Macaca fascicularis: one gene and its partners. The protein of the gene in region 1 interacts with the protein of each later gene in a pairwise test. Links are inferred from orthologs where the notes say so. Each region holds a gene or a part of one and is shown in the gene's direction. Other genes may lie near its edges.

What was found. The genes of interacting proteins can lie anywhere in the genome.
Region 2: the proteins of CCDC136 (region 1) and SHFL interact in binary tests that used the Homo sapiens proteins (3 or more experiments, as listed by UniProt). The two-hybrid records come from large-scale screens. The link is inferred for Macaca fascicularis from reciprocal best matches to the Homo sapiens genes CCDC136 and SHFL.
Region 3: the proteins of CCDC136 (region 1) and ATP5PO interact in binary tests that used the Homo sapiens proteins (3 or more experiments, as listed by UniProt). The two-hybrid records come from large-scale screens. The link is inferred for Macaca fascicularis from reciprocal best matches to the Homo sapiens genes CCDC136 and ATP5PO.

The regions. Positions count from the first base shown.
Region 1 is NC_088377.1:170,268,590-170,278,108, forward strand, and holds part of CCDC136 (coiled-coil domain-containing protein 136), read left to right. Parts: intron 1-917; coding exon 918-1,112; intron 1,113-1,609; coding exon 1,610-1,837; intron 1,838-3,265; coding exon 3,266-3,778; intron 3,779-4,174; coding exon 4,175-4,396; intron 4,397-6,089; coding exon 6,090-6,371; intron 6,372-7,093; coding exon 7,094-7,414; intron 7,415-8,284; coding exon of another isoform or gene 8,285-8,290; exon of another isoform or gene 8,291-8,917; coding exon of another isoform or gene 8,918-9,022; exon of another isoform or gene 9,023-9,255; coding exon of another isoform or gene 9,256-9,357; exon of another isoform or gene 9,358-9,362; intron 9,363-9,519. UniProt on the Homo sapiens protein: May play a role in acrosome formation in spermatogenesis and in fertilization.
Region 2 is NC_088393.1:10,628,686-10,638,704, forward strand, and holds the start of SHFL (shiftless antiviral inhibitor of ribosomal frameshifting protein), read left to right. Parts: upstream 1-4,265; 5' UTR 4,266-4,376; coding exon 4,377-4,397; intron 4,398-4,869; coding exon 4,870-4,993; intron 4,994-5,191; coding exon 5,192-5,241; intron 5,242-5,416; coding exon of another isoform or gene 5,417-5,555; intron 5,556-7,597; coding exon 7,598-7,636; intron 7,637-7,838; coding exon 7,839-7,988; intron 7,989-9,146; coding exon 9,147-9,250; intron 9,251-9,372; coding exon 9,373-9,527; intron 9,528-9,996; coding exon 9,997-10,019.
Region 3 is NC_088377.1:13,009,422-13,019,468, forward strand, and holds the start of ATP5PO (ATP synthase peripheral stalk subunit OSCP, mitochondrial), read left to right. Parts: upstream 1-4,293; 5' UTR 4,294-4,316; coding exon 4,317-4,352; intron 4,353-5,558; coding exon 5,559-5,609; intron 5,610-7,362; coding exon 7,363-7,473; intron 7,474-10,047. UniProt on the Homo sapiens protein: Subunit OSCP, of the mitochondrial membrane ATP synthase complex (F(1)F(0) ATP synthase or Complex V) that produces ATP from ADP in the presence of a proton gradient across the membrane which is generated by electron transport complexes of the respiratory chain.

The DNA.
Region 1 (9,519 bases):
ATTACTGATGGGAAATGGAAAGGTGTTGAAGCATGTTGGAGAAAAGGCCCAAGAGTCTCTAAAGATGGTGGAGCTGGTCACATTCTGCCAGAAACTCAGTAGTTCCTGTCCCTGGGGAAAGGCCTTCAGGAGACAGAGGACTGGGAAGGTTATTTGGGCTACCTCAACAGTCTCTTTGCCTTTCTATATCCAGGCTCACGTTTCCTCCTTTTTCCACTTCTACTCAATTTAGGAGCCCAGGGGATCCGTGACTTGCTCGTCACCTCTTCCCCTAATGGGAAAAACGATGGGAAAGGAGAAGCATGCTGGCAGACAGCACCTGTTTTTTTCTCTAGCCATAAAACAGCATTGAGATCTGTCTGATACTGGAAGATTTGGGTTTTTGGAAATGGGATGATTTAGACTTCTCAATCCAAATTCAGCAATAGCGCATACTTTCTAAAGATATAAAGAGAGAATTAGGAAAGCAAAAATGGGAAAAATTAGGGTGAAATTAGGTCCTTATTGGTAAGGAGTGTAATTGCATTCAAAAACAACTGGGGTTAATGAGAATAACAGGAGCTAAGAGTTCCCAGCAGGGTGGGAATATGGTGTATACACCAAAGGAAAGGGCCAGAGAAGAGGAAAGGGGCATCGATAGCATTCGCCATCAAACTGCCCCCAGAAAGGAATGGTAGAAGTTTAGAGCAAGGCCAGCCACCAGTCTAGAGCAACCTGCTCTGAAAGACCAGCCTGTGGGGGATCCCCAATCGGTATCTAAACAGCCAGGGTGCATTGTGGCTTGGGGTGACCAGTCCAAAGTGACTGCACAGGGAGAGAATCACAAGAGGCAGGAGAGCGCGGAAGTGCTCTGTTAGCCACCCAGGAAGCTTACCTTACAGAGTAACCACCCCCTCCGCACCCGCCCCCACCCACAGTGTGACACACTGCTGTCCAGACTGACAGAATTGCAGGAAAAGTACAAGGCCAGCCAGAAGGAGATGGGGCAGCTGCAGATGGAGCAGTGTGAGCTCCTGGAGGACCAGAGGAGGATGCAGGAGGAGCAGGGCCAGCTGCAGGAAGAGCTGCACAGGCTCACACTGCCACTGCCCAAGAGTGGCCTCTTACTCAAGGTAACTCCGCCAGAGGCAGCTGCTAACTGGGGAAGCTGCTCTGAGAAGCTTCCCTGTGTGACTAGGGAAAAATAGAAGGGTGGAGGTTGAACTTTTTCTTCTTCTTACCAATGACTCCTTACTTTCTCACCACTCTCCCCAAACCAAAAAGCTCCATAGAGCCAATTAGAGTTTTTCTTATAAGGGCTTTAAATCTTAAAATACCTTTTATACTCTGGAATCTGTGCAGCAGTTTATATTTAGTTATTTAGTCCATCTGGAGAAAATGCACCTGAAACCACTTTGTAAATGACAAAATATATCCCAACGTAAGAAACCATTGCTACTTTTAGCTGGTCTCCATAGAAAGACTCCCCCTGTCCCCAGATGGGCTCTGTGAAGCCAGCCCTGAGATTCTTCAGGGAATTGTTCACAGCAGGGATGAGGCACCAAGGAGGCATCGGACTTTCTGTGTAACCACCACAATCCCTTGCCTCCTTCCTTCTACTCCGCCTCAGAGTCAGGAGCTACTCACCAAGTTAGAAGACCTGTGTGAGCTGCAGCTGCTCTACCAAGGCATGCAGGAGGAACAGAAGAAGCTGATACAGAACCAGGACTGTGTATTAAAAGAACAATTAGAGATCCACGAAGAGCTGCGACGTTTCAAAGAGTCTCATTTCCAGGAAGTGCTGGAGAATCCCGATGATTCCAAATTGGCTAAGTCCTCAAAATATAATCGAAACAAGGTAACCATAGCAAGAGGTAGGGAGACAGTTCTCCTGAGCACAGCAGCATGACAGGGAGAGTGGGCACTGCTGAAGGGTCAGAGTTGGGAAGGCCTGTTTGGCCAGGGGTAAGGATAAGGCTAAAGCCCTGCCCTTCACCACCTGTGACCTCTTTCAGGCTCCATTAAGAGGTGGCTTTTAGATACAGCCTGAGGACCTCACCTAGATGCCATTATCCTTTATCATATTGATATTCACAGTGCCCAGTTGAAGCACTGTGAGCACTCAGGGCAGAGCTGGGATGACCCAAAATCTGTCATCGGATCATTTGACTCATTCCTAGTAAGATGTATAGTTGGATTCCTTTGGACTGACTCTAAACATGTCATCTTTTTCTTGAGTGGAAAAGTACGGTTCTCAGTTATCAAAATCGTTCACCTTTGGTGTTATCTGTGAGGCAAATTTGGGCCCTTTCATTTCCAAGAGAAGAATTCCTAGCACATGGGGTTCTTAGTACTGACCACACTATCTTCATTGGAACTTTGGTGGCAATAACAGAGCAAGGTCACAGGGGTTAGACCAGAAAATCGATGCCTTTCAAGTACCAGCAAGGGGTCATACCGATGAGGTGACACAGGTGGAGATCACCGTACAATTCTATTCAGGGTTGGGGGCTAAAGTTGTTCTGAGGTCTCAGCGTGGGTGAGGAGGGGCAGGTAGACAGTTTCGGTTTAGGCCGAATCTATTCATTCAGATCTTATTCTGAACAAGGAGAACCAGGGAGTAGCAGAAGTCAACACTGTGAGGCTGGATCATATTCCAGGGGCAGCAGATGTCCAGGCTGCAGGCCTGGGTAACACAGCTGGGAACCAGGTATAAAATATTTCCTTAACTGATCAGATCTCATCCTGGACATCAGCGCCAAGAAGCCAGGCCCAGAGAGCCTGGGAAACATGCCCAGAGGCCAGATTCAGAATTGGGGCAGGAGATACAGGAACTAATAGTGAGACTTTGATTCCAGTTCTTCATATTGCCGCGTTCAAGGCCAGGCTGATTTTACAACTAGGGGTGGGCAGGGAGACTGAGCCTGAAGGTCAGGATAACAGGTATACCTGACTGAGAAGAGGGTGTGATGGGGAGCCAAGGTGTTCTGGAAACCCACTCGGGACTGCTCCAGGGAGACAGGGATGTACCAAAGTGCAGAAACCAGCTGAAATGGGAGCCGGGAAATTATGGAGTATCTGCCCTGGGGATATTTTCCCAAATGAGCAAGAAACTGATACATGCCAGTTACCTGTAGTTTAAGTCAGAGACATAAGCCGGGGTGAGGTGGAAATGTAGGCATGCCATTCTCTAAGGTGTGCTCTCAGACATCTGTACCAGGAAAGGTGCAGCTGGAAGGACTGAAGTGTCACAATAATGATAATGTCTCCCCACCCCTGCCCCCAGCAATCCAAGCTGCTCATGGAGCAGATGCAGGCCCTGCAGGTGCTGTATGAGGCCAGTCAGGCGGAGCAGGAGCTCTTGCAGCAAGAGCAAGGGAGGCTCCTAGAGGAGCGGAAGAGACTGCAGGCAGACTTGCAGCTCTGCCTGGAAGAAATGCAGCTGCTTCAAGTCCAGTCCCCTTCTATAAAAATGAGCCTTGAGTCCTACGGGAAGAGCTATGGTAGCATGGCCCCCAGCAATGAGAACTGCCGTAAGACTTATGATACCACTGTGGATGACAATGAGAGCTATAACAAGAGTTACGCCAGCACCCAGACCAGCAGCGAGAGCTTTCTCAAGAGCTATGACAGCAGCACCAGTGCCAGTGAGGCCTATGGAAAGAGTTACTGCACTACTAGCGACAGCAGCATTACCTATAAGAAGAGTTACGGCAGCACCAGTAGCTCTGACACCTGCCAGAAGAGTTTTGTCAGCAGCTGCACTGACGAGGAACCTGCTGAGCCTGAAGACATGGAGGTAACGGTTGCCAGGTGACAGGTCAGGCAGGGGACGATGGACTCTTGTCTTTTTAAGAGATGCATCACCAGTGGAAGGGACAAGAAGTGTGGGAATGGGGTCAGAGCTGACCTGGGGAACTACTGAAAGTAAGCGAAGCCTTCTACCCATGGCAGCCTGGTCTCCCACTCAGCCCTCTTGTAGAGAGATGCCCCCGTCTGGACAGAGGCCCATAAGATTCAGTCCATTTCCTCACCACAGCCATGGTGCTCTTTAATGGGGGTAAATATAGTATTCCCCCGCGGGCAGCTCTGGATCCTGGTGGCCATTGTTTGGTATCCAGGGAAGGGCCTAGCAGAGTGGGGCGGAGCTTAGGTGCTCCTCAGGGTGCTATTGTTGCTCCCCCACCCTCTGCAGCACTTTGAGGAAATGGTTGCGAAGGTGCTGATCAAGCTGCAGGCGGTGCAGGCCATGTACCAGATAAGCCAGGAGGAACACAGCCAGCTGCAAGAGCAGATGGAAAAGTTACTGGCCAAGCAGAAAGACCTGAAGGAAGAGCTGGATGCCTGTGAAAGGGAGTTCAAGGAGTGCATGGAATGCCTTGAAAAGCCCGTGGCCCCCCAGAACGACAAGAATGAGGTAACCACTGTCAGGGAGGCAGGGTTTCCTCTGGCAGCCCCTGGAGCCAGAGGGGTCATGGCCACTTCAGAGAGGCCAAAGAGAGAGGGACAAAGCAGGGACAGCATGCACCTCAGAGGCTGGGCAGTCTGCTGCATCCCTGATGACATTCCCAAGTGCCCGAGGAGCTGGGGTTTACTGGTCATCAGGATTCCACGTATCAAATGATTTCTTTTTCTCTCTTTGCCACTTCTGTTCTCTCTTTTGCTTTGTGTTCTAGACCACTTCTGTAGAACTGTATTTTTGCATTTGCCAATCTTCTTTCATCACTTTGTGTGCATTTGCCTTGTCTCCTGGTGCACCAACTGGGAGCACCAACTAGATTGTAAGCAGCTCAAGGACAGGGACATGTCTCCTTTTGGATCTCTCACAATGCCAAGAAGAGTGCTCTGCACCCCCTAGGAATGGGACAGAAGTCTTGTGTCTGGCCAGGGGTTCACAGTCCAATGGGGGTCTCTTTGTATACACACGGGAGAGATTCAGAGAGCAGCGAACACATGGGTCCAGATTGGTTAGTATTGGTACCTACTGAGGGGATGGTCATGTTCTGCCATCAGCCAAGGAAGACAAAACCCGAGATCAGGGAGCAGAATGTGACTTGCCTCTGTTTCCAGGGTGAGGTGCAGGAGCCCAGTACACACTTCAGGAGTGTACAACACAGTTCTTTAAGTAATTGTTCCTGTTAGAGAGATGGGTTGGATGAAGTAGGAGTTCCCATAAAAAGAATTCTAGGCCAGGTGCGGTGGCTCGCCCCTGTAAACCCAGCACTTTGGGAGGCCAAGGTGGGTGGATCACCTGAGGTCAGGAGTTCGAGACCAGCTTGGCCAACATGGAGAAACCCCATCTCTACTAAAAATACACAAAATTAGCTGGACATGGTGGCGCATGCCTGTAATGCCAGGTACTCAGGAGGCTGAGGCAGGAGAACCGCTTGAACCCAGGAGGCGGAGTTTGCAGTGAGCCAAGACCACACCATTGCACTCCAGCCTGGGCAACAAGAGCAAAACTCCATCTCAAAAAAAAGAATTCTATCTAATAAATCCCCGAGGTTCAGAATTGATAGCAGCCCTGTTGTTATTCCCCAGTCACAGTAGAAAACACCATTTAAATCATTTTGACCTTCTTTTTTTTTTTTTTTTTTGAGACAGAGTCTCACTCTGTTGCCAGGCTGGAGTTCAGTGGCACGATCTCAGCTCACTGCAACCTCCACCTCCTGGGTTCAAGCGATTCTTCTGTCTCAGCCTCCCAAGTTTCTGGGACTACAGGTGCGCTCCACTAAGCCCAGCGAATGTATTTTTAGTAGACATGGGATTTCACCTTGTTGGCCAGGCTGGTCTCAAACTCCTGACCGCAAGTGATCCGCCCACCTCAGCCTCCCAAAGTGCTGGGATTACACTGGATGGCAAGTGAGCCACCACGCCCTGCCATTTTTTTCATCTTATTAGATGTACGTCATCAGGTGCCTCAAGTTAGGAGAAGCTATTTGTAAAACTATTTGAGAGGCTCATTTTTCACAGTTGAATATTTTCTCTTCCTATGGGCTTTAGCAGGGAGATTTCTGAGACCCCCAAGCAGGGCTGAGGTTGGTTGCATGATCAGCCAACTGGTTGCGTAACCAGCCAACTCTGGGTAACTGGCCCTTCACTACCAACAGATCAAAGAACTGCAGACCAAGCTGCGAGAACTGCAGCTGCAATACCAGGCTAGCATGGATGAGCAGGGGCGGCTTCTGGTAGTGCAAGAGCAGCTGGAGGGGCAGCTGCAGTGCTGCCAGGAGGAGCTCCGCCAGCTCAGGGAGAAGAGGCCCTCTGTTGTCAAAGAAGCCCGGGGGAAGAATGCTAATAAGAACATGAACAAGAACGCCAATGGGGTTAAAATGAAAAAGGTGATCAAGCCGTGCTCGGATACTTCTGAGAGTGACTTTGAGACCAGAAAGGTGAGTAGTAACCTTCGTAGCCAGATAAGCAGAAAGGAGGAGGAGATCCTGGGAAGAAGCATTGTCTCCACCACCCTTTCAACCAGGCAAGGGATTTGTAGAGAAGCTTCTGGGATCTCTGAAGTGTCTACAGTGGTTCCCATCTTAATGGAAAGTGGGTGCTCCCTTTTCCTGTGAAGCTATGGGGAGAGTGGAACACAGACAACTCAGACAACTCACATTGAACACAGACAACTCACATTGGGAGGTACAGCCCTAAAGGACCACAGCCCCTAGGCTGGACAACTCCTTCAGTTCACCCAACCCCATTTGCTGGGGCCCCTGTTCTTCCTGGGTTGCATGCCCAAGAGAAGGACCAAATAGATGAAGAGGGAGGAATTTGTTCAAAGTAGTTGTGTACTAATAAGTGAAAGAGGATTGGGTAAAAAAAGAGTCACTGTAGGGGTGGGAAGCAACAATTTAGGTGCACACCCAAGACTCTTTAGTTCTGGCAGCTGTTTGAAATGGCTTATTGGCCAACAGACATAGTGGTCCTGAGAGGTGAGGTGTGATGCCCTCTACATATGCTCAGAGGATTGGCTCACAGTCCCGGAGCACCGGGCTGCACCCTTGCACTCTGACATGCTGGAAGTCATGTTTCCTGGAGCTAGTACAGCATTGTCATGAGAGTAGGAGCTTCACAGGTAACGCAGCCCTCATCCTGCCCTACTCCCACCCCACAGAGTCTGGAGGTGGTGCTGTACTACAAAGCCAGCCAGAGGAAATTAGATGGACTAGCAAAAGAGGAGGAAAAGAAAGAGGAGATGAAAGAGGAAAAAAAGGAGGAAGTGAAAGAGGAAGCAAAGGAGCAGTGTGGGGATGAGCTAGTTGCTGAGCCAGCAGATCCTGGGGAAGCTAAATCCACAGAAGATCAGGAGGAAAATGAAGAGGACAAAGAGCAAGAGGAGAAGGAAGAAGACAGTGAAGAGGAGGAAGATGACATTGACTCTTCCCTTGAAAGTCCTGAAGAAAACAACCCCCTCAGACTTTCCGAGAGTAAAAAGGTAACCGGAGCCAAAGGCTAGATCAAGTGGGAAGTGGGATCTTGGGCTCAGGTACCTCAGAGTTAATGGGTGGCCCTGCCAAGGATAGATATCTCCAGGAGTGGAGGCCTCGCACTGTAAGGCACGGCCCTTCGGGGAGGTGGAGATGCAGAAGGGGGAGGCGAGAGCAGTCTGTCTGCAGGAAATCACGGGCTCAGCCCCATTTGCTGTGGAACCACCTCACAATGACCACCTTTTCTGGGAACCAACGTGGGGTCCCTGGAGTCCTTTCATTTACATAGTAGCCTTTGTTACCTTCCTTATGTGGGGAGCGTTCCCTCATCCCTCTTTCGGCACTGCAGGAAGGACATTGACAGCGTGAAGTCTACTTCAGGCCATTTTTGTCAGCCTGGGCAAGTCACTCAGTCCGGTTTTCCTATGGTGCCCTGTTAGGTTTAACCTTTGTTGTCGCTGTTAGGGGTGTGTCAGGGGATAATCTCTTCTTTGTAGGCTTGTGTCGCCCCCTGGATTCTGGGTATCACAGGACATGAAGGTGGGGCCTGGGAGTGATCAAGAGTGATAGTGAAAATATTTCACGTCTGTACAGTAGGAGCATAGACTAGTCCAAGGAGACCATCCCTAGCCCTACAGTTGCTAGATCACTGAGAGGTTGGGGTGGAGGTATCCTGGGATATATATGCTAGAATGCCAGGGGTAACTTACCAACAATATAGAAGTACTTCCATATTTTATTAACTGGTACATCTCTGCAGGTATGTAGCAACTGAATTCTTGCCCTGGGCTTAACTCAGGGCCAGAGTCTCTACAGAGTTAGAGTATTTCCTGTGTAAGTCCTCAGCTTACATTACAGGTTCTTTCTGTTCTAAACAGAGGTAAAGAAAAAAGCCTCTTGTCCAGTCAACTCTGAGGATATCTGGAATTTCCGGCAATTGGGTCTTCAGCACTGGCTAAGGATCCAGTGTGCAGTGCTCTGCTTACCTTGTGCCAGGGGACCATTACCTAAGATGTGAAAAGTCGGAGCCACTGCAGCCCCTCCCACTATCATGTTTCCTTGAGCTCATCATATTCCACCATGTGCTGGTTCAGAGCCTTTACCTTCGGTGCCAACATTTCTAAAGCTAGACCTGACTTTTCTACTTCAAATACATTCTATGTTTCTATATATGGAGAGATCCCTTTGCCCCGTGGGTCCTGCGTCTTTTGCAGGCAGCTCTAGGGCATGCGTATTACCACTTTGCAAAAGCAGTTTCTCTCCGGAAGACTGTTGCAGCGAAAGAACTAGCCCTTCTCCCTTGTCAGTTTGTTTTGGTGCATGTTGTTTTACAATGATATCATTAGATTCCTAGGCGATCAAAGGGACAAGAGCCCAAAATACTAAGAAACTTGATGGAAAGCAGGCTAGAACAAAGGGACAGGTGGCCTGGTAGAAGACTGGCTCTTCCTAGAGCAACCTAGGAAAAGTATCTGCACTACTCCACTAAGGAAGCTGTTTACTTTCTGCAGCATCACAAGAAAGGTCTAGGTGCAGATACGTCCTGCTTGACAAGATATGAGAGGTATATGATGAGACAGAAAGAAAACTGGACTCACCGCCTGACTTGGACCTAGCTGCTGCTTAACCCATTCAATTTTGCAATTCCTGCAGACTGCCGGTGGAAAGAACCAAGGCCCAGGCAGCAGAAAAGACATGCAACTGCTCTAGCTTACCTGTTTTTTAACCTCTTGATTCCTTTCTCTTTTCCCTTTGTTTTCTCATCTTCATTATCTGTTGGATCCATGTGTTTATGTCTCACATCTCCTGGTCTCTCCTCGTGCTTCTTTCTCATTTTGGTGTGTTGCAGTCATCCCCTACCCCCGATCCCCCCATCTTCTCCTTGCCTCTTGTAGGCCTGGTGGTCATCTCGGCTTTGCTCTGGTGCTGGTGGGCTGAGACGTCGTCCTAATGCAGGTACTGGTATTGCTTCCTCTCCTTCTGAGGGATAGAGGGAGGGTGCAGGTTGCCCTGGCCTCTCCTCTTTCCCTTTTCTCCCAGCTGCTTGCTTCTTGCTCGTACTATTTTACAACAGGTGATGCTCAGGTCTGAGTTTTAGTTCTGACTTTTCCTT
Region 2 (10,019 bases), on another chromosome or scaffold:
GATGGTCTTGAAATCCTGAGCTCAAGTGATCCTCCTGCCTTGGCCTCCCAAGTGCTGAGATTACAGGCATGAGCTGCTGTGCCCAGCCAATGAGCTTTTAATGTACACAATGTGGCAGAAGTGATGCTATGTGACTTTCAGGCTAGATCATAAAAAGATACAACTTCCACCTAGCTCTCAGCTCCTAGATGGTGTGCTCGGGAGGCCAGCTCCCATGCTGGGAGTACACTCATGCCACTCAAGTATACTGGGAGGAATCGAGGCATCCCGCCAATCATAGCACCCATCTGCATGCCCTGGGAGTGAGCCACCTTGGAAGCAGATTCGCCAGCCCCTGTCAAACCTCCCGATGACCGAAGCCGTGGCCAACTCCTTAACTGCAACCTTCTGAGAGGTCCTGAGCAAAAAGCAAAGCAAACAGCCCAGCAAAGCCATTTCTCAAGTCCTGAGCCACAAAGACTACATGAAATCATAAGGATTGACCAGGTGCAGTGACTCACGCCTGAAATCCCAGCATTTTGGGAGTCCAAGGCAGCAGGATCACTTGAGCCCAGGGGTTCAAGACCAGCCTGGGCAACACAGTGAGACCCACAGCTCTACAAAAAAGTATAAAAATTAGCCAGCTACTCAGGAGGCTTAGGCAGAATTGCTTGAACCCAGGAAGCAGAGGTTGCAGTGAGTTGAAATCGTGTCACTGCACTGCAACCTAGGTGACAGAGCAAGACTCTGTCTCAAAACAAAAACAAAACAAAACAACAACAAAATAAACAAACAAACAAATTAGCCGGGTGTGGTGGCACACACCTGCAGTCCCAGCTATTCAGAAGGCCAAGGCGGGAGGATTGCTTGAGCTCGGGAGGTTGAGGCTGCAGCGGAGCTATGATTGTGCCACTGCACTCCATCCTGTCTCTTAAAAAAAAAAAAAATGCCAGCTCTAACAGACCTTTGCTCTGCATATTCTGTGCTAAAAAAAAAAAAAAATCAAAAAACAAAACGCCTAGCAGATCTGATTTACGTCAGGGCTAGCTCAGACTCTTACCTGTTTCCTTCCCACTCAGTGCCCATCTCGGCCAGTGGATGGGACATAACTATGACCTCCCTCTGCGCTGGGCAAATAGATTAGTAACTGGCAACTATGACAGGAGATTCCCTCCAAACCTTCCCACTTCCTTCAGGATAAAATCCCAGGTCCTCTGTGCAGTCTCCAGCCCCCATCCCCGCCTAGAATTCCACCGTTCAGCCACGAAGAAGCATGAACTGCTTTTGTTTGCGAATATAGTAGTCTCCAGAGTGCAGTACATACACCCTATAAACAAAGTTTTGGGGTTTAACCAGAAAACACTAGAATATCTAGATTTGGGGGGGGTTATTGTTTTTTAGTGTTTTTTTTTTAATAAGTTTTTTCTTTTCTTTCTTTCTTTCTTTCTTTCTTTTTTTTTTTTTTTTTTAAGAGACTAGGTCTTGCTATATTGCCCAGGCTGGTTTTGAACTCCTGGCCTCAAGTGATTCCCCACCTTGACCTCCCAAAGTGCTAGCATTACAGGTGTGAACCATCATACCCAGCTTCATTTATCTCTCTACATTTTTTCAAGTCACCCTGTCACCCATGCTGGAGTGCACTAGCATAAGCTCGTCTCACTGCCATGTCTCCCTCCTATATTCAAGCAATTCTGCTACCTCAGCCTCCCAAGAAGCTGGAATCACAGGCATGCACCACCATGCCCAGCTAATTTTTGTATTTTTGGTATGGATGGGGTTTCCCCATGTTGGCCAGGCTAGTCTCAAACTCCTGGCCTCAAGTGATCCGCCCGCTTCAGCCTCCCAAAGTGTTGGGATTACAGGCATGAGCCACCAAGCCCAGCCCTCATGTATATTTTTGAATCTGCAGTTTTCTGTTTTCTTTCTTTTTTTTTGAGACAGAGTTTCGCTCTTGTTGCCCAGGCTGGAGGGCAATGGCATGATTTTGGCTCACTGCAACTTCCATCTCCCAGGTTCAAGCAATTCTCCTGCCTCAGCCTCACAAGTAGCTGAGATTACAATTTTTTGTTTCCTAAAGAACATATATTTTGGCTGGGTACAGTGGCTCATGCCTGTAATCCCAGCACTTTGGAAGGCCAAAGCGGGAGGATCATGAGGTCACGGGTTCCAGACCACATGTAGTGGCCAACATAGTGAAACACCGTGTCTACTAAAAATACAAAAAATTAGTCAGTGATGGTGGCGGGCACCTGTAATCCCAGCTACTTGGGAGGCAAAGGCAGGAGAATCACTTGAACCTGGGAGGCAGAGGTTGCAGTGAGCCAAGATCATACCATTGCACTCCAGCCAGGCAACAATGTGAGACTCCGTCTCAAAAAAAAAAAAAAAAAAAGAATATATATTTCTGTAATAAAGATACTGTTATGTAACAATTTACAGAATATATTGATATAATTGTATTTGTATATAATTTAAATAATATCCTGGCTGGGCTCAGTGGCTCACACCTGTAATCCCAGCACTTTGGGAGGCAGAGGCGGGCGGATCACAAGGTCAAGAGTTCGAGACCAGCCTGACCAACATAGTGAAACCCCGTCTCTACCTAAAATACAAAAGTTAGCTAGGCGTAGTGGCGTGCACCTGTAATCCCAGCTACTTGGGAGGCTGGGGCAGCAGAATCGATTGAACCTGGGAGGCAGAGGTTGTAGTGAGACGAGATGGCACCACTGCATTCCTGGGCCACAGGGGGAGACTCTTCTCAAAAAATAAATAAATAAATAAATACAAATAAATAAATTTTTTTAAAAAATCCATCTTTGAGGCCAGGAGTTTGAGACCAGCCTGTGCAACATAGTGAGACCCCGTCTCTACAAAAAAAAAAAAAAAAAAAAAAAAAAAAAAAAAATTGAAAATTAACCAGGCATAGTGGCATATGCCAGTAATCCCAGATACTTAGGAGGCTGAGGTAGGAGGATTGTTTGAGTCCAGGAGTTCGAGGCTGCAGTGAGCCGTATTCAAACCACTGCATTCCAGCCTGGGCAACAGAGCAAAACCTTGTCTCAAAAGATAAATAAATAAATAAATATCCATCTGGGGGTGTAATTTTAACAGTTTTACCTATAGAGGTGTGCAATGGAGAAAAAAATTTAGAGTCGTTGAACACAATGCTATTTTGCCCCTCAGAGAGTATCTGGCAGTCTCTGGAGACATTTTTTGTAGTCACAACAGGGAGAGTGAGGAGCCACTGGCATCTAGCAGGCAGTGGCCAGGGATGCTGTTAAATGTCCCCCAACACACAGAACAGTCCCCCACACAAAGAACCAGGCAGCCCAAAGTGTCAAGAGTGCTGGGCTTGAGAAGCCCTTGCCCGAAAGCCCCAGACTTAGTCTTGTTTTGGGGGCTCTGCACGGCTGCCTCAACTCCCCACTCTATTCGTCCCCGAGCTAAGACCTCCAATTTCAGTGACTGTACAAAGCATCCCCTCCTCCAATGAAGTAGCCATCTCTGTGTCCCCAGGCTGGGCCAGAGCCCCACCACCTAACGGCTCCCTGATGCGCCCTGTACTGGGTTAGAACTGTCCAGCCCACGGGGTTCTTAACCATTGCAGATTCCCTGGATCCCTGAGACAGCCGGATTCTACCGGGCAACGAGAGACCAAGAATCTGTGTTTTTCTCAAGCACCGCTCCCCACAACCACACACACACTGCCTGCCCCTATCAAGGGCACACAGCAGGTGGCCCAGTGACTAGTTGAGTGCCTACTGCAAGCCAGGCGCTATTACGCGATCCACTCGGGAATCTTGGCATATACTCCACTCCATGGTGTAGACACCAGGATCCTCCCCATTTCACAGAGGGGTAAACTGAGGTTCAGAGAGGTGACCCTAGCTAGGACAGAGACTCAGGGCAGGAAAAGCGCCCAGGTCCTCATGAGCGCCAGATTCCCGGGGAAGGAGGGAGGACAGAGAGGAGGGTGATGAACTGGGGGAGCGCGCGCTGGGTGGGGGGGCGCGGGGCCTCGCCGCGGCCTTCCGATGCGGCCCCGCCCCCACGAGGGACGTGAAGACGCGGACCCCGCGCAGCGTGGGGACATGTGACCGACTGCAGAGGCCGCGCCGCCTCCCCCGCCCGAGGTCTGCGCGCTCCGCCGCAGGGTGCAGACCCGGGGCGACCGCCTGGGTTTGGGGCGCAAGAGCAGAGGCGGAGCCAGGGCGGAGCCAGCGCGCCCGGTCCCCCCTGAATCGAAAGCGAAACAGGGGCTGGGGAGGAAGGGCGGAGCCGGCCCCGAGGCACCGCCCCCTGCCCTGCGCGGCTGCTGGACCGACGGGCGCGCCCAGGTAGGGGGGCGGCTGAACCGCGCAGTGCGGACCCTCGCGGGGACCTGCGCCGCCGCCACCATGTCTCAGGAAGGTGTGGAGGTAAGAGATGGCTACGGCTGGGCCGGGGGCAGACGCGACAGACTCCGAGGAGCGGCCGAGAGGCGCGGAGGGGGCTTCGCAGTTCCTGGGGACCCCCATCCTAGAACCCCAGATCTTTACCCCTGCCTGGCGCTCACCCCCCTTGAAAAGGAAAGTGACTCCCACGTTTCCCCAGAGCGAAATGAGGCCTCTCCGAGGAAAAGCGGGGGCTGCAGGGTCAAAGGTCAGAGGCCAGAGATAACCTGGCCGCCCCCCCACCTTAGGCTGGGACGCTCGCCTCAGTCCGCGCCCTCCCCCAGCGCCATGTGGGGACTTTGGCTTTTTCCAGGAAATGCCGTAGAGGGATGAAAGGGGGGGCGGCGGAGGCCAAAACCAAGGGTCAAGTTCAGGCCGGGAGAACGGTGCCTAGAGATGGGGGAGGGACGATCGCGCTTCCCCTTCGCCCACCGGAACCCCCCTGTCCCCATCCCAGCTGGAGAAGAGCGTCCGGCGCCTCCGGGAGAAGTTTCATGGGAAGGTATCCTCCAAGAAGGCGGGGGCTCTGATGAGGAAATTCGGCAGCGACCACACAGGAGTTGGGCGCTCCATCGTGTACGGTGAGGCTGCTGGGGTCCCGGGCCTGGTGCGGAGACCGCGCGTGGGAGCGCCGAGGGGGCGTGGTCTAGGGAGAGGCGTTGAGATCACCTCCCCCGGAGGTCCCAGCCTCGGGGAGGCTCTGCATCGCGGCTCTGGGTGGCCTGGAACTCCCACAGACCCTTCAAGGGCCCTTCTCTTATACGCACTCTCCCCCGCAGGGGTAAAGCAAAAAGATGGCCAAGAACTAAGTAACGATCTGGATGCCCAGGTAACCTGTCCCCTCCCCTCGCAAAGGACCGGGTCACGGGAGGGACAGCAAGAGGGGGGACCCGACCGGTTCATGGTGACTGACACTTCTCTGAAACAGGAGGGACCAGGCATTGTCGGTCTGTAACTCATCACCCAATATCACTTTTTCACCTCTCTATCGTTTGTCCGGCCAGGGAGCCTGCAAACAGTAGGCGCTCATTATGCGCTGATTGTATTCAAAGGCGGACAGCCATGAAACTAGGCAATGAAAGGAGTCAGGATTATGGCCATCGTGGGGGGGCAGAGATCAGAGAAGACTTCCTGGAGGAGGAGGTACCAAGTCTTAAAGGATGGAGAGGAGTGAGCCCTGGGAGGGGAAAGGGAAAGAAAGGCAGGGGCCTTAGGGTGTGGGAGGGAATGGCATGAGCAAAGGCTGGGAGGTGGGGAAGGGTTGTTAGTGTCAGTCTCTAGAAAGGCTGGGATGAGCAGGGGATTGGGGAGGAGAGAGAGGGAGGGGAAGGGAACCTTTGTGTTGAATGAATGAATGAATGAATGAATGAATGAATGAATGAATGAATGGCTTTGAAGCACAGGTGCATCATGGCTACTTTGCTTCTTCGAAAGCTTTGGTGATGGGAACACTGTGGATTTCGCCTGCCTGAAAGGCTCAGTGTAGGGCTGTTACAGTATAATAGGCCTGGCGCCATGGCTCACGCCTGCGATCCCAACACTTTGGGAGGCTGAGGCGGGCGGATCACCTGAGGTCGGGAGTTCGAGACCAGCCTGACCAACATGGAGAAACCTGTCTCTACTAAAAAATACAAAATTAGCTGGGCATGGTGGCGCATGCCTGTAATCCCAGCTACTCGGGAGGCCGAGGCAGGAGAATCGCTTGAACCTGGAAGGCAGAGGTTGCAGTGAGCCAAGATCACGCCATTGCACTCCAGCCTGGGCAACAAGAGCGAAACTCTGTCTCAAAAAAAAAAAAAAGGCCAGGCGCGGTGGCTCACGCCTGTAATCCCAGCACTTTGGGAGGCCAAAGCGGGCAGATCACGAGGTCAGGAGATTAAGACCATCCTGGCTAACATGGTGAAACCCCATCTCTACTAAAAATACAAAACAACAACAACAACAACAATTAGCCAGGCGTAGTGGCAGGCGCCTGTAGTCCCAGCTACTCAGGAGGCTGAGGCAGGAGAATGGCGTAAACCCGGGAGGCAGAGCTTGCAGTGAGCCAAGATCGCGCCACTGCACTCCAGCCTGGGCAACAGAGCAAGACTCCGTCTCAAAAACAAAACAAAAAACAAAAAAACCCAGAGGATAGTAAAATATGTATCATAGTCTACATTTATACATATAAAAGTATGATAAAAATGATAGCAGAGGGGCCGGGTGCGGTGGCTCACGCCTGTAATCCCAGCATTTTGGGAGGTTGAGGCGGGCAGATCACTTGAGGTCAGGAGCTCGAGATTAGCCTGGCCAACATAGTGAAACCCCGTCTCTACTAAAAATACAAAAAATTAACTGGGCGTGGTGGTGCATGCTTGTAATCCCAGCTACTTGGGAGGCTGAGGCAGAAGAATCACTTGAACCTGGGAGGTGGAGGTTGCAGTCAGCCGAGATCACGCCATTGCACTCCAGCCTGGGCGACAAGAGTGAAACTCCATCTCAAAAATATAATAATAACAATAGCAGAGGGTAGCATTCATTTAGTATTTCCCATATGGCAAGACTCCAGGAATTGATTTATTTCATCGCCACAGTGACCCCAGGAGACAGGTCCTGTTATTTATCCCCATTTCACAGACAAACTGAGGATGAAGTCACTTGCTAGGTTCACGAAGCAAGCAGGTGGCAGCTGCGATTTGAACCCTGGCCACCTGGAGTCAGAGTCTGGGCTCTAACATGCCTGTCAGTGGGAACCCAGGAGGCAGGGAGTGGCTTGTCCAAGTCCCCACAGCTGGAAGTGATAGAGCTGGGATTCGAACCCACATCTCTCAGTCCAGATCCCCACCACTTAGCCAAGCACAACGTGGCCTCAAAGGGGCGATATTGTCACAACACCAACAAGCATGTGGCATTTGCAGGCAGGAAGTGAGTACGGGGGTCAGGCTGGCCTCACAGGCAAGCCCTCCCCTAAGCCTCAGTTTCCCCATCTGAGCAATAAGGTAACAGGTGTGCCCACCTCTCAGGGCTGCTATGAGGACAACTGAGGCCACACACCTGGCTCTCAATATGTGGGCAGTGCTCTGTGAGCTCCTGGCGAGCTAGGGGCACCCTATTCTCCTTGCGGCCGGGGCCCTCCCAACACAGCAAACAGGTGGAAAAGAGGCCTGAGCCCCATCCCAGTTTCTGCCCCTGCTATCTCCACCCAGGATCCACCAGAAGATATGAAACAGGACCGGGACATTCAGGTGAGTTGGCGGCTAGGGCTTGAGATGGGGAAGTGGGGAGGGCGACATCTGCAGGCACGGAAGGATGTCCATTAGGGCAGGAGGGGAGATATTCACTGGGGCAGGAGGAGGACTTGTCTGTAGGGAGAGGAGGGCTGATGCTTATGCTGGTGCAGAAGGGGTGACCCCCCTCCACCTCATCCCCACCTGCCCCATTCCACAGGCAGTGGCGACCTCCCTCCTGCCGCTGACACAAGCCAACCTACGCATGTTTCAACGTGCCCAGGACGACCTTATCCCTGCTGTGGACCGGCAGTTTGCCTGCTCCTCCTGCGACCACGTCTGGTGGCGCCGCGTGCCCCAGAGGAAGGAGGTAGTGACCCACAACTTAACCTTGACTGTCCCGAACTCCACTCCTGACTCCCATCCTCAGTGACTGTACCTCTGACCTAAGGATTTCCATCACTGACCTCCAAACTCAGAGCTCAGCCTTCATCTTGATCCCAACCCCTGACCTTAAATGTGAGAAGTCCAATACCTCCTTACCCCAGAGCCTGACCCTTGACCCCACAATTGAACAGCTACTACAGAAATCAAACCTGGCCAGGCGCAGTGGCTCATGGCTGCAATCTCAGTGCTTTGGGAGGCTAAGTGGGGAGGACTGCTTGAACCTAGGAGTTTGAGACCAGCCTGGGTGACAGGGTGAGACCCTGGCTCCAAAAAAATTTTTGTTTTGAAGAGATGGGGTCTCGCCCTGTCGTCCAGGCTGGAGTACAGTGGCGGGATCATATCTCACTGCAGCCTCCACCTCCTGGGCTCAGATGATCCTCCCCACTCAGCCTCCCAAGTAACTGAGACTACAGGCCTGCGCCACCACACTTGGCTAATTTTTGTATTTTGTGTGTGTGTGGAGATGGGGTTTTGCCATGTTGCCCAAGCTGGTCTCACACTCCTGAGCTCAAGCAATCTACCGCCTCAGCCTCCCAAAGTGCTGGGATTACAGGCATGAGCCACTGCGTCTGGCAAAAAAATTTTTTTAATTAGCTGGGAGTGGCAGTGTGTGCCTGTGGTCCCAACTACTCAGGAGGCTGAGGTGGGAGGATCGTTTGAGCCTAGGAGGTGGAGGCTGCAGTGAGTCATGATCACAACACTGTATTCCAGCCTGGATGACAGAGTGAGACTCTGTCTCTGAAAAAAGAAAGAAAGAAAGAAAAGAAACCAAATCTGACCTCAAAAACACAGCCCCAAATCTGGCCTCTGAATGTCCTGACCAGTAGTTCGCTTCTGGTCAATGCTTAACTAGTTCTTGCAAAAGAGGCAGGAAGCCAAGATGTGTAGTGTTTGCCAATTTCTGTGGTGTAAGTATTCCCACCATGGTCAATATGAGGCTACCCATGTGAAGTCACTGATTGAGTTGGGTTGCTCAAGCTGAGGCCAGCCACTGCAGCACACTTCTAGCCCTGACCCCAACCTCAGACACCTCTGACAATCCTTGGTCCCCTCTCTGCACGCCCCCCCCCACCACCACCAGGTATCCCGGTGCCGGAAATGCCGGAAGCGCTACGAGCCAGTGCCAGCTGACAAGATGTGGGGCCTGGCTGAGTTCCACTGCCCGAAGTGTCGGCACAACTTCCGGTGAGGGCGCTGACCCCCAGCTCCCCCTCAGCCCTGCCCCACCCCAGCCCTGCCCCTCCCTGCCCTGGCCCCACCCTGGCCCAGCCTCGCCCTCGGACCCTCACAGCCCTGCCCGCCCCCAGGGGCTGGGCACAGATGGGGTCCCCGTCCCCCTGCTACGGGTGCGGCTTCCCCGTGTATCCAACACGGATCCTCCCCCCGCGCTGGGACCGGGACCCGGATCGCCGCAGCACCCACACTCACTCCTGCTCGGCCGCCGACTGCTACAACCGGCGAGGTGAGGCTTTTCTCCTCCAACATCCTGGGCAGTCTTTGTCCCCTTCTGTGCCTTTAAGTCCCCAAATCTCCACTCAGTCCACTTCGTCTCCCACAGCAGCAGCCACTGCTTCTACGTGGCCTCCATGGCCCCCCAGTCTCCGTGGTCTTGCCCACGAGGCTCTGAGGTTTCACCCCAGTGGCCCATGCCTGAGGGTCTCCATGGCCTCTGCCCCCATGGTCTCTGGGTTTGGGGCCCCTGTTTTGTCCCCTGTAATCTCAGGTGACCCCCCATGTCCCCAGGTCTCCTGTATCTTCAACACCCCTGAATGTCCAGTTGTGCTGGTCCCCGTATATTGTGGCCTCAGCTCTTCCCTAGAGCCCCTCGTGGCCTCAGCCCCTCCCTAGAGCCCCTCGTGGCCTCAGCCCCCTCCTGCCCAAACTCTCATGGGACCTGGAGTCCCATGTCTGCAGCACCTCTCCCTCCCTAGAGCCCCACGTGCCTGGGACATCC
Region 3 (10,047 bases), about 160 Mb from region 1:
TGTGTGCATATGTAGTCCCAGCTATTCAGGAGGCTGAGGTGGGAGGATTGCTTGAGCCTGGGAGGCTGAGGCTGTAGTGAGCCATGATTGTGCCACTGCACTTTAGCCTGGGCAACAGAGTAAGACCCTGTCTCAAAAAATAAGCAAATAAATAAAATAAAATAGAAAAAAAAAAACATAAAAAACGGAAACCATCTCAATTATATTCAGAGTCTAGAGTTTCCCAAGTATATTTGACCCTAGAACTTTTTATTTGTATTACATCTGTTAACACCCACACTTCAGAAAACACAGGTTTTGCAGTTTAATTTCTCATAGAATATAAAGTTTATAAAGGTAGGCACTGTGTCTTGTATCCTGTTCTAGCTTCAGGGACTAGAACAGCTGGCTGCACATAATAGCTGCTCACTAAATTGTGTTAAATAATGTGCTGAATACTTTTCATTAGGCTTATTTGAAAATAGTCTCTGAAAGTTTGCAAAGTAGAGTGAAACAAGGATTTTCATGTGCTGCTACAGAAACTATAAATCGATTAAAACTTTTGAAAAGCAGCTCGGCCTCATGCATCAGAGGCTGTTAAAGTACTCACATTCTCTCACCAAGTTGTGTAAATTCTGGAAATCTATTTGGAAATTTTCCTAAATATGAAAAAAAAAAAAAATGACCGGGCGTGGTGGTGTGCACCTGTAGTCCCAGCTACTTGGGAGGCTGAGGTAGGAGGACCGCTTTAGTCCAGGAGCTCTCAGCTGTGGTGCACTATGCCGGTCAGGTGTCTATACTAAATTCAGCATCAATATGGTGACCTCCAAGGAGCAGGGGACCACAAGGTTGCCTAAGGGGGGTGAACCAGCCAAGCCAGAAACAGAGTAGGTCAAAACTACCATTTTTAGGCCGGGCATGGTAGCGCATGCCTGTAATCCCAGCACTTTGGGAGGCCCAGGCGGGCAGATCACCTGAGGTCAAGAGTTCAAGACCAGCCTGGCCAACATGGCAAAACCTCATCTCTACTAAAAATACAAAAACTAGCTGGGTGTGGTGGCACACACTTGTAATCCCAGCTACTCTAGAGGCTGAGGTAGGAGAATAGCTTGAACCGCGGAGGCAGAGGTTGCAGTGAGTTGAAATTGGGCCACTGCACTCCAGCGGGGGAGACAGAATGAGACTCCGTCTCAAAAAATAAATAAATCAATAAATGAAAATAAAAATAAAATAAAACTCCCCTGCCGATCATTAGTGGGAATCATGCCTGTGAAGAGCCACTGTATTCCAGAGCAACATAGCTGACACCATCTCTCAAAGAAAAAAAAAAAAAGAAGGCTGAGCGCGGTGGCTCATGCCTGTAATCCCAGCACTTCGGGAGGCCAAGGCGGGTGGATCACCTGAGGTCAGGAGTTCGAGACCAACCTGGCCAATATGGTGAAACCCCGTCTCTACTAAAAATACAAAAAAATTAGCCGGGTGTGGTGGCACACGCCTGTAATCCCAGCTACTTGGGAGGCTGAGGCAGAAGAATTGTTTGAACCCAGGAGGCAGAGTTTGCAGTGAGCTGAGATCACACCATTGCACTCCAGCCTGGGCAACAAGAGCGAAAGTCCATCTCAAAAAAAAAAAAAAGAAAGAAAGAAAGAAAAGAAATTTATGTCTAAATATGCTTAGGAGATTCGGTATTGTTTAAAATGGCAAAAAAAAAAAAAAAAGGAAACCATTTGAATTATGTTCAAAAATCATAGAATAATCAAGTTGCAGAATATTCACTGGATGGACTACCTGCAGCCATTAAAATGATACTTAGAAACTTTTATAATTTGGAAATAGGCTTATATTATAAGCATGAATGCATAACTCATATGTAATTTTGCATCCTTTTCTTTCTTGCATTAAAGAAAAAGGCAAAATACCAAGTTGTATAAAGATTGTTAATCTGTATGTATAACAAAAGCAAACAAAATAAAGAACTAACATAACCAGGTGTGGTGGCATGCACTTGTAATCCCAGCTACTTGAGAAGCTGAGGTGGGAAGACTGCTTGAGCCCAGGAGTTGGAGACAAGCCTGGGCAACATAGTGAGACCCTCATCTCTAAAAAAAAAAAAAAAATTTTATTAGCCAGGCTTGGTAGCATGTGTCTGTAGGCCCAACTACTGGGGAGGCTAATGTGGAAGGATTGCTTGAACCTAGGAGGTCAAGGTTGCAGTGAGTCGTGATCACACAACTGCACTCCAGCCTCGGTGACAGAGCAAGGCATTGTCTCAAAAAAAAAAAAAAAGACCAAATTAATGAGTACTACTCTGTCAGGCAATTGTTCTAAGCACTTTACATATATACTTTTTTATTTCTCCTAATGACCTATAGGCAGATACTATTATAATACCCAGTTTATAGATAAGAAAACTGAAGCACAGAGAAGTTATATAACTGGGCCAAGGAACTGATTGGGATTCAGGCCAGGGTAGTTCAGGCCACAGCCTAAACAAATGTTGAGAAACAAGACACCAAAATACTTACAACAATTGCCTCTGAGTGGAAGAAAAGAGGACAATTACATCTTTATCTTTCTCTACATTTTAAAAAGTTTTTAGGGAGTTGGGTGTGGTGGCTCACACCTCTAATCCCAGCACTTTGGGAAGCCAAGGCAGGCGGATCACTTGAGGTCAGGAGTTCGAGACCAGCCTGGCCAACATGGCAAAACCCCATCTCTACTAAAAAGAGAAAAATTAGCCAGATGTGGTTGTGTACACCTGCAGTCCCAGCTACTCGGGAGGCTGAGGCAGGAGAACCACTTGAACCCAGGAGGCAGAGGTTGTAGTGAGTTGAGATCATGCCACTGCACTACAGCCTGGGTGACAAAGTGAGACCCTGTCTCAAAAAAAAAAAAAAAAAATTGTAATAATGAGAAAACTACTCTCTAAAAGTGAAAAATAATGAATTAACGTGTTTCTATAATACATCTGAGCAGAGTACTTTTCTTTTAAGTTGATTACAGAACCCCCACTATTATAAACAGGAATACTGACCCTTGCTCTGCCAGCCAGTCTCTTCTCCAACAGACGAGAAAATTCGACTGAGTTCTATTTAGAGAGAATGGGTTGAAGATAGGTTGTTTTTATGGATGAAGAGAAACTATATCCAAGGCTAGTATCCAGTTCTCAGTTTCAATATCAAATTTGTTCAAACCCACGTTCTCCTACTTTAGGCCTGATGCTCGGCTAGCCACTCTGCCCTAGCCATAATCAAGAATCTAGGTATCAGAATCCCACCTGCCCTCACACACCAACAGCTCAGTTCTATACTCAGGTGAGATGGGTGAGAGGGGAGGGGAATGGAGGGCCACAGAGATTCTTTGCTTTTGCTTGGCCAAACTTCAGTGAGGCTTCTGAACCTTCTCGGAGGCCTATCTATACACCTCCTTGTAAAATCCAGTTTTAGCCAAACTGCTAAGTCAGTTTAGCCAGAAGCCCCAATCTTCGATAACCGATCATCTTTGATATTTGATCAGGGTCCCCATCCTTCACCATCCCCCAGGTGATGTCTGATCACCCTGACCTGTCTTCTACAAGATTCCTCTAGGTCATTTTAGCCAGAATCCCCCTTACCCCAGTTTCCTCTTAGTAATTTTCTATCCACTGACCCCCACACTGCTCCTTGGCCATAAATTCCCATTTGTCCGTGCTGCTTTCGGAGCTGAGCCCAATCTCTCCGCCCACTCCCAGACCCGGTTGCACTGGTCCTATACCCATCGCTATGGTCCTGAATAAAGTCTTCCTTACCATGCTTTAACAAGCATCATTGAATAATTTTTTATTTAACAATGGGTAGTCATGGCCCAGGTAAGAGGGACGTGGTGTCCGCTCCTGGAGCTGCAAGGCTCCTGGGGGCTTTTTGTTTTGGTTTGGTTTTGTCTTTGTGTGCAACGTGAAAAAAAGCCATTGATTCAGGCTTTAGCATGCTGGGAAGGAAGAGTCAAGAATCCAGTGACACTGGTAATAACTGTGAAATGGAACAAATACCACTATATTTATCTAAATGTAAATTTTAAAACTGGGAACAGCAAATCCATTCTACAGTGAGGGCCGCTTGGCCAGTAACAATGATTTCATTTTCACGTGCAGTTAAAGCCCTCTGGCTTCACCGCAAGGGTCCAGCCCTTACCACTGCTAAGAACTACAACTCCCAGCCGGAGGGAGGTCTTTGCGCCTGCGGCCTGACGCCCTACGCCTACACTTCCCAGAGAACCTAGCGGTTACGCTAACGTGCGCGTGCGCTCTTGCGCGCCTCTCTCTTCCCACTCGGGTTTGACCTACAGCCGCCCGGGAGAAGATGGCCGCCCCAGGAGTGTCCGGTCTCTCCCGGCAGGTGAGAGAAACATGATCCTGAGAGCCAGTGGTAGGATCCCTGCTGGGGTGACCGGTACCCAACCCCGAGCACCAGGGTGCGATGCTTCGGTTGGGGAAGTCTGGCAGTCTTCCAAGGTTATGGGACCCGGCGAGTGGGAGCGACTCAGGACGACCCAGCGTTTGTCCCCCGGGATGCCTACGGGGCGGAAGGCGCGGGGCTGTGCGTGCCGTGACCTTGGCATCCTCCGAGCACAGCCCCAAGAAGCTGCTAGCCTGAGGGGCGCAGGAGAGGGGGTCTGCCGTTTGCTGAATTCCGGGGAAGGGGCATGGCCTAGCCTCCAAATCAGCTTCCTTTGCCATTGTGGTAAAACCTGTCAGAGATCACTTACTAGTAATGCTAAGGAATATTTGTAAAACACATTTCACAGTTTTATAAATGAAATGAGGCCGAAAAGTTTAAATGAGTCTTTGACTGCTCAGCCAGTAAGTGGTAGAATTGAGATTTGAACCCACAGAATCACCCAGAAGATGGAGTTTGAAAAAATTGTATGCTCTTTGTACTGAATATCACCATGGTGCTTTACATATCATGACCCCTTCCTGGCATCTTAGGTAATTTTTACATAAGCATTACAAAGTCTTAATCCTCACAAGCAGTTTGGATAAAACACATTCCATAGCTGGAAGTATTTGAAGGTGACCTGTGATCTGTGACCTGTGCGCTTGCAGGTGATTTTTAAACTGTAAGACTGTCTCGCAGAGGTAGGGCCTCTTGTCAGATCAAACTCTGCGGCAGTACTCAAAAAATTCATCTTTATTTTCAGATAGCATTTGGATTCCGAGAAGGGTACATCTGTTGCAAATGATCTGCTCAAGGGTGTGGTAATAGGAACGCCAGAATTTTGGTTAAATATTTTTGAAACGTGCACTCCTTGGAAGTTAGTGTTTTCTCTGTCATACGGGTGTGCTAGCCTCGGTCCATTCCTAGCGAGCTAGGAGGTTAGTGAGAAGGTGATTTCCCAAGCAACTTGGGATAATCCTCGTTGGGTAAGTTTACTCCTTAGTAATAATAAGTAGCTCATCCTCATGTAACATGTGAAGATACAAAGAGACAAAACTAATGCTTTCAAGGTCATTAAAAATTTGTTGTTGATGTTGTTACTGAGTTACGTGCAGAAATCCTTCGAGTAATCTTGTTTGATCTATTTTCCTTTATTGCTTCAAGGTGCGATGTTTCAGTACCTCTGTGGTCAGACCGTTTGCCAAGCTTGTGAGGGTATGTTAATTTATATTCTTCTGTAATGATAAGCACGTGAAAGTGTTAGTCAAACAGCAGTACAGTTAGGACGTGGATTTTTGTGTAGTTACTATCTAAACCTTTCTGCACGACTTGTGGTTCCCAAAATGTGATGTGTGCGTAGGGTGTGGAAAGGAATGGTGTTGAATACTTGCTTTGTGACAGGCCCATGCATAATCTTTAAATATGAAAACTTTTTTTTCGATCATTTGTTTTTCCATTAACCCTCTAAAATAGGGAAGCTAACATTTACTTATTTTTTAATGAAAGAAACAGGTTTAACAAAATGACATGCCCAAGTTATCACAGGAAATTATTACAGGAGTTGATATTAAAATCAAGGTACCTTGGTTTCTAATGCAATTCTGTTGCAATTCTCTATGTTCCATTCTGGTTAGGAATATTCATACTCTTCACACTCTTTCTCTCCACTAGGAGAGAAAGAAGGCTCACTATTTCAGAGAGTTGCCCATCCCTTTCTTTTCAAACCGGAAGTAGTCCAGTTGACCCCGGATAAAGAGGACTATCAGTGACACATAATAAATGAAGTTCCCCAGAAGGCCCCCACAAATGATACATGACTAACAGCTGGTAACAACCCTGTTGGAACATGAAGTCTGACTCCATTTCTGTAGGTTATTTTGAAATTCTTTATTTGATTAAAGAAAGTTCCTTTGTGATCGAGAATTGAATCAACTGTCAGGAAGCAGGAACTTTTCTAAGATGTGCTGGGTCAACTATCCTACCCACACTTTTCCCCACCAAATCAACAGTGAGCCAGTCCTCCCCTTGGAAAAATTTCGTAAAGGAAAGATCATAATACCAGCCTATGTCCTTAATGAACCCACATCAGGTGGGATTTAGGAAAATAATTATCATGTCCTGTCCTCATTACCAGCCCCAAATCTCAAGTCAAATGATCAAAATCATTTTGTCCTTCATGTGAGAGCTTAAAAACCTCATAACAGTGTTCAGGAGTAACTGGTCTTCCCGTTTTACAAAAGGGGAAGCTGAAGCCCTGGGAAAATGTACCTGAGGTTACTCAGCTTAGTCCTAGAGCTGGACTGGAACTAAATCTTTCTCATCCAGGCTTGAGCTTTCCCACTACAGCCATACAGCACCACTAAGAACGTGTAGTTACACACTGATGGTAGAAGAAAAGTCTGTAGTTTACTGTGAAAAATAATTCAAGCATCAGGTTTTTTGTGAACTGCCAAAGGGCTCTGTTAAATTGAACATCGATAGGGAGGCTATGTAAGGGAAAATGTATAGTGTCAGTATGAAATGTATAAAAGTATATTTGTGTGTTTCATAAACACCTGTTTTCCTAGCTCTAACATACTCGAAACTGTCTATCAGTGTTCACAACGTCCCATACTTGAAACTAAATAGTTACTGAGTTTAAAGGAAACATAAGCTCATCTCAAAATTAAAGTACAAGTAATTGATAAAGGTAGGTAAACCTGGAAGGGACTTTAGACCCTGCTTACTAAGCCCCTCATTTTACAGATGAGGAATTGGAGGCTTAAAGATTTGAGTGACCTGACCAAGGAAACATCCCTAATTTACTTGCAAATTGCCATTTAGGGCAGCTCTTGGGTGACACATTTAAACTGTTTTGTGTTAAAACGATATATTTTTTAAAATATAAATTTTAAATTCTGCTCTTGACAGTATACTATTAACTGATTTTCCTTTTTGCTTCCTCTCCTATTTCACCTTTTCTTTAAAGCCTCCTGTTCAGGTATACGGTATTGAAGGTCGCTATGCCACGGCTCTTTATTCTGCTGCATCAAAACAGAATAAGTTGGAGCAAGTAGAAAAGGAGTTGTTGAGAGTAGCAGTAAGTAGCTTTCCTATTCATTATATATTAAGTTCCTGTTTGTATATTTTTTCCTTTGGTTGGTTGACTGCATTCCTAATGAGGTGTATCCTCCAAGAAAAAGAACTGGGAAAAAGCCATTTTCTGTAAACACGTTTTTAGTGATAATGTTGGGTTTTTGTTATTATAAAACATATAAAAAGAACAAACAGATACATATAAGGATATTAATATTAGGAACCAAGATTTGGGGCTAAGAAAAGATAGAAATGTAAAATTAAAATAGATGATAATTTAGGAAAATTGCTATTTCAGTGGAGAATTTAAAAGCTACCTTTAAAAATCTATACTTATAACTGGGCACGGTGCTCACACCTATAATCCCAGTACTTTGGGAGGCCGAGGCAGGTGGATCAGGAGTTCATGAGTTTGAGACCAGCCTGGCCAACATAGTGAAACCCCATCTCTACTAAAAACTACAAAAAATTGGCGGGGCATGGTGGTGAACACCTGTAATCCCAGCTACTCTGGAGGCTGAGGCGGGAGAATTGCTTGAACCTGGGAGGCCGAGGCTGCAGTGAGCTGAGATCGCACCATTGCACTCCAGCCTGGGTGATGGTGCAAGACTATCTCAAAAAAAAAAAAAAAAAAAAAAAAAAAAAGATTATATGCTTCTGGGCTAGGTCTTTAGAATATATTGTGATTGGGTTTTACGGAGAATTTGTTTTCATAAAACCTTTGCCTCGGGTTTTAATTGCCATATTCTATGCTTGTAGAATCAGAGGAGGCTCAGACATGTCTTACAGGTTGTTTTCATTTGGTAGAGATGCTTTGCAATTGTCAGAACCCCAGAAGTAACCATGTAGACCTTTTCATTGTTATTTTGTTCCCAAAATGTGACAGAAGAATGACAGGCTGGGGCACGCTGGGCAGCAGAGTTAGTAAAGGGGTATGGGCTTCCCAGGGGTAATAGAGGACTGACAGGCAAAGACTGTGAGGCCGCTGCAGGATGTTTGTAACTTTTTTTTAAACATGAAAAGCAGAATAAATAAACCGTATTAACAGAAGCCTACATTGTAACTCAATAGGAGAATGTCTGCTTTCATTTTCACTGAATTTTCTAGTTAACAAGTTTCTACACATTCTGTTGCTTCTTTCTTTGATTTTCTGGCTGCTACCACTGGCAGTAAGGTCTGCATTAAAAAAGGTGAAGGAGACGCAGTCTGGTATATAGCCTCTTCGGAGGAAGTTTTGTTCTTTCTTGATTTTAAGATTCTTCATTCCTTGGCCGGGCGCAGTGGCTTACACCTGTAATCCCAACACTTTGGGAGGCCGAGACGGGTAGATCATGAGGTCAGGAGATCGAGACCATCCTGGCTAACATGGTGAAACCCCATCTCTACTAAAAATACAAAAAAGCCCGGCATGGCGGCATGTGCCTGTAGTCCCAGCTGCTGGGGAGGCTGAGGCAGGAGAATGGCGTGAACCCGGGAGGCGGAGCTTGCAGTGAGCCGAGATCATGCCATTGTACTCCAGCCTGGGTAACAGAACAAGACTCTGTCTCAAAAACAAAAAAAAGATTCTTCATTCCTTAATTCATATGTCTGTAAGTTTTTATTGTTTAGGAAAAACAGTTCATAGGCCAGTTGTATAGAATAATAATTCTTATGTTCTATATTAATCATCGTGTGTATAGTCTATAAGTATTACTGTTCTGTACTGTTTATGTTTTATTCATTTTTCACTTGAGCTTCTGTTGGAACTTCCGTCTTAACAGGCAGAATAATTTTAGCTCCATATTCCTTCCTTGATCCATTTACCTCTGCAGATAATGCTTAAGGTCTTAGCTGGTGTGATAAACTCTTAATGATTCTCACAGAGCCCAGGAACCCAGCCCTGTTGTTGGAGACATTTGGAGGAAGGGCATGCAGGAACAGACGGGGTCTCACACAGGCGTTTTTGGAGGTGATGGTTATTGTCTGCTACTTGTCAGTTATGCCCATTTTAAACAGAAACAATCGTGTTTACAATGGAGAGAATGACTTGGATTGTGGGCATTAGAATGGAGTTTGTCTAAAGCCTGGAAGTCAGTCAAGACATGGAGAAAAAGGGAGGCAATTATCTGAAGACACTCTGAATATTAGCAGAGTTTTGGCATTAAGAGGGAAGGATAATGCAAGCATCATACTCACTGTCCTCTGGATGATGCAGGAGACACAGATAAACATGAAAAACTAGGTAACCCAAATTCCAGAATGCTTTCAATCTGTGTATGCCTGCATTTTTTATGGAAAAATGTCATTTCTGTGGGGTCACTCAAGTGGAAATGTTAGCATTGGATGATAGTATCTGACCAGTATCCTGGATCAGAGACAGGATTCTGGCCAGGAGCCTGGGAGGAGGTGCTAGGAGAGTAATTGAGGCATAGAGAGGTGTGTTAACTGAAGGTGCTTGACTGGAAGCTGCCATTGTTGGTTTGTTGGAACTCTGGAGCAACATGCTGGAAGCTGCACTTGGTCACTGAATGCAGATATTTGTGATATAACAAAATGAGAAGAAGGTCGTTTCCCATGATGGTTGTGCTCCCGTTTTTTG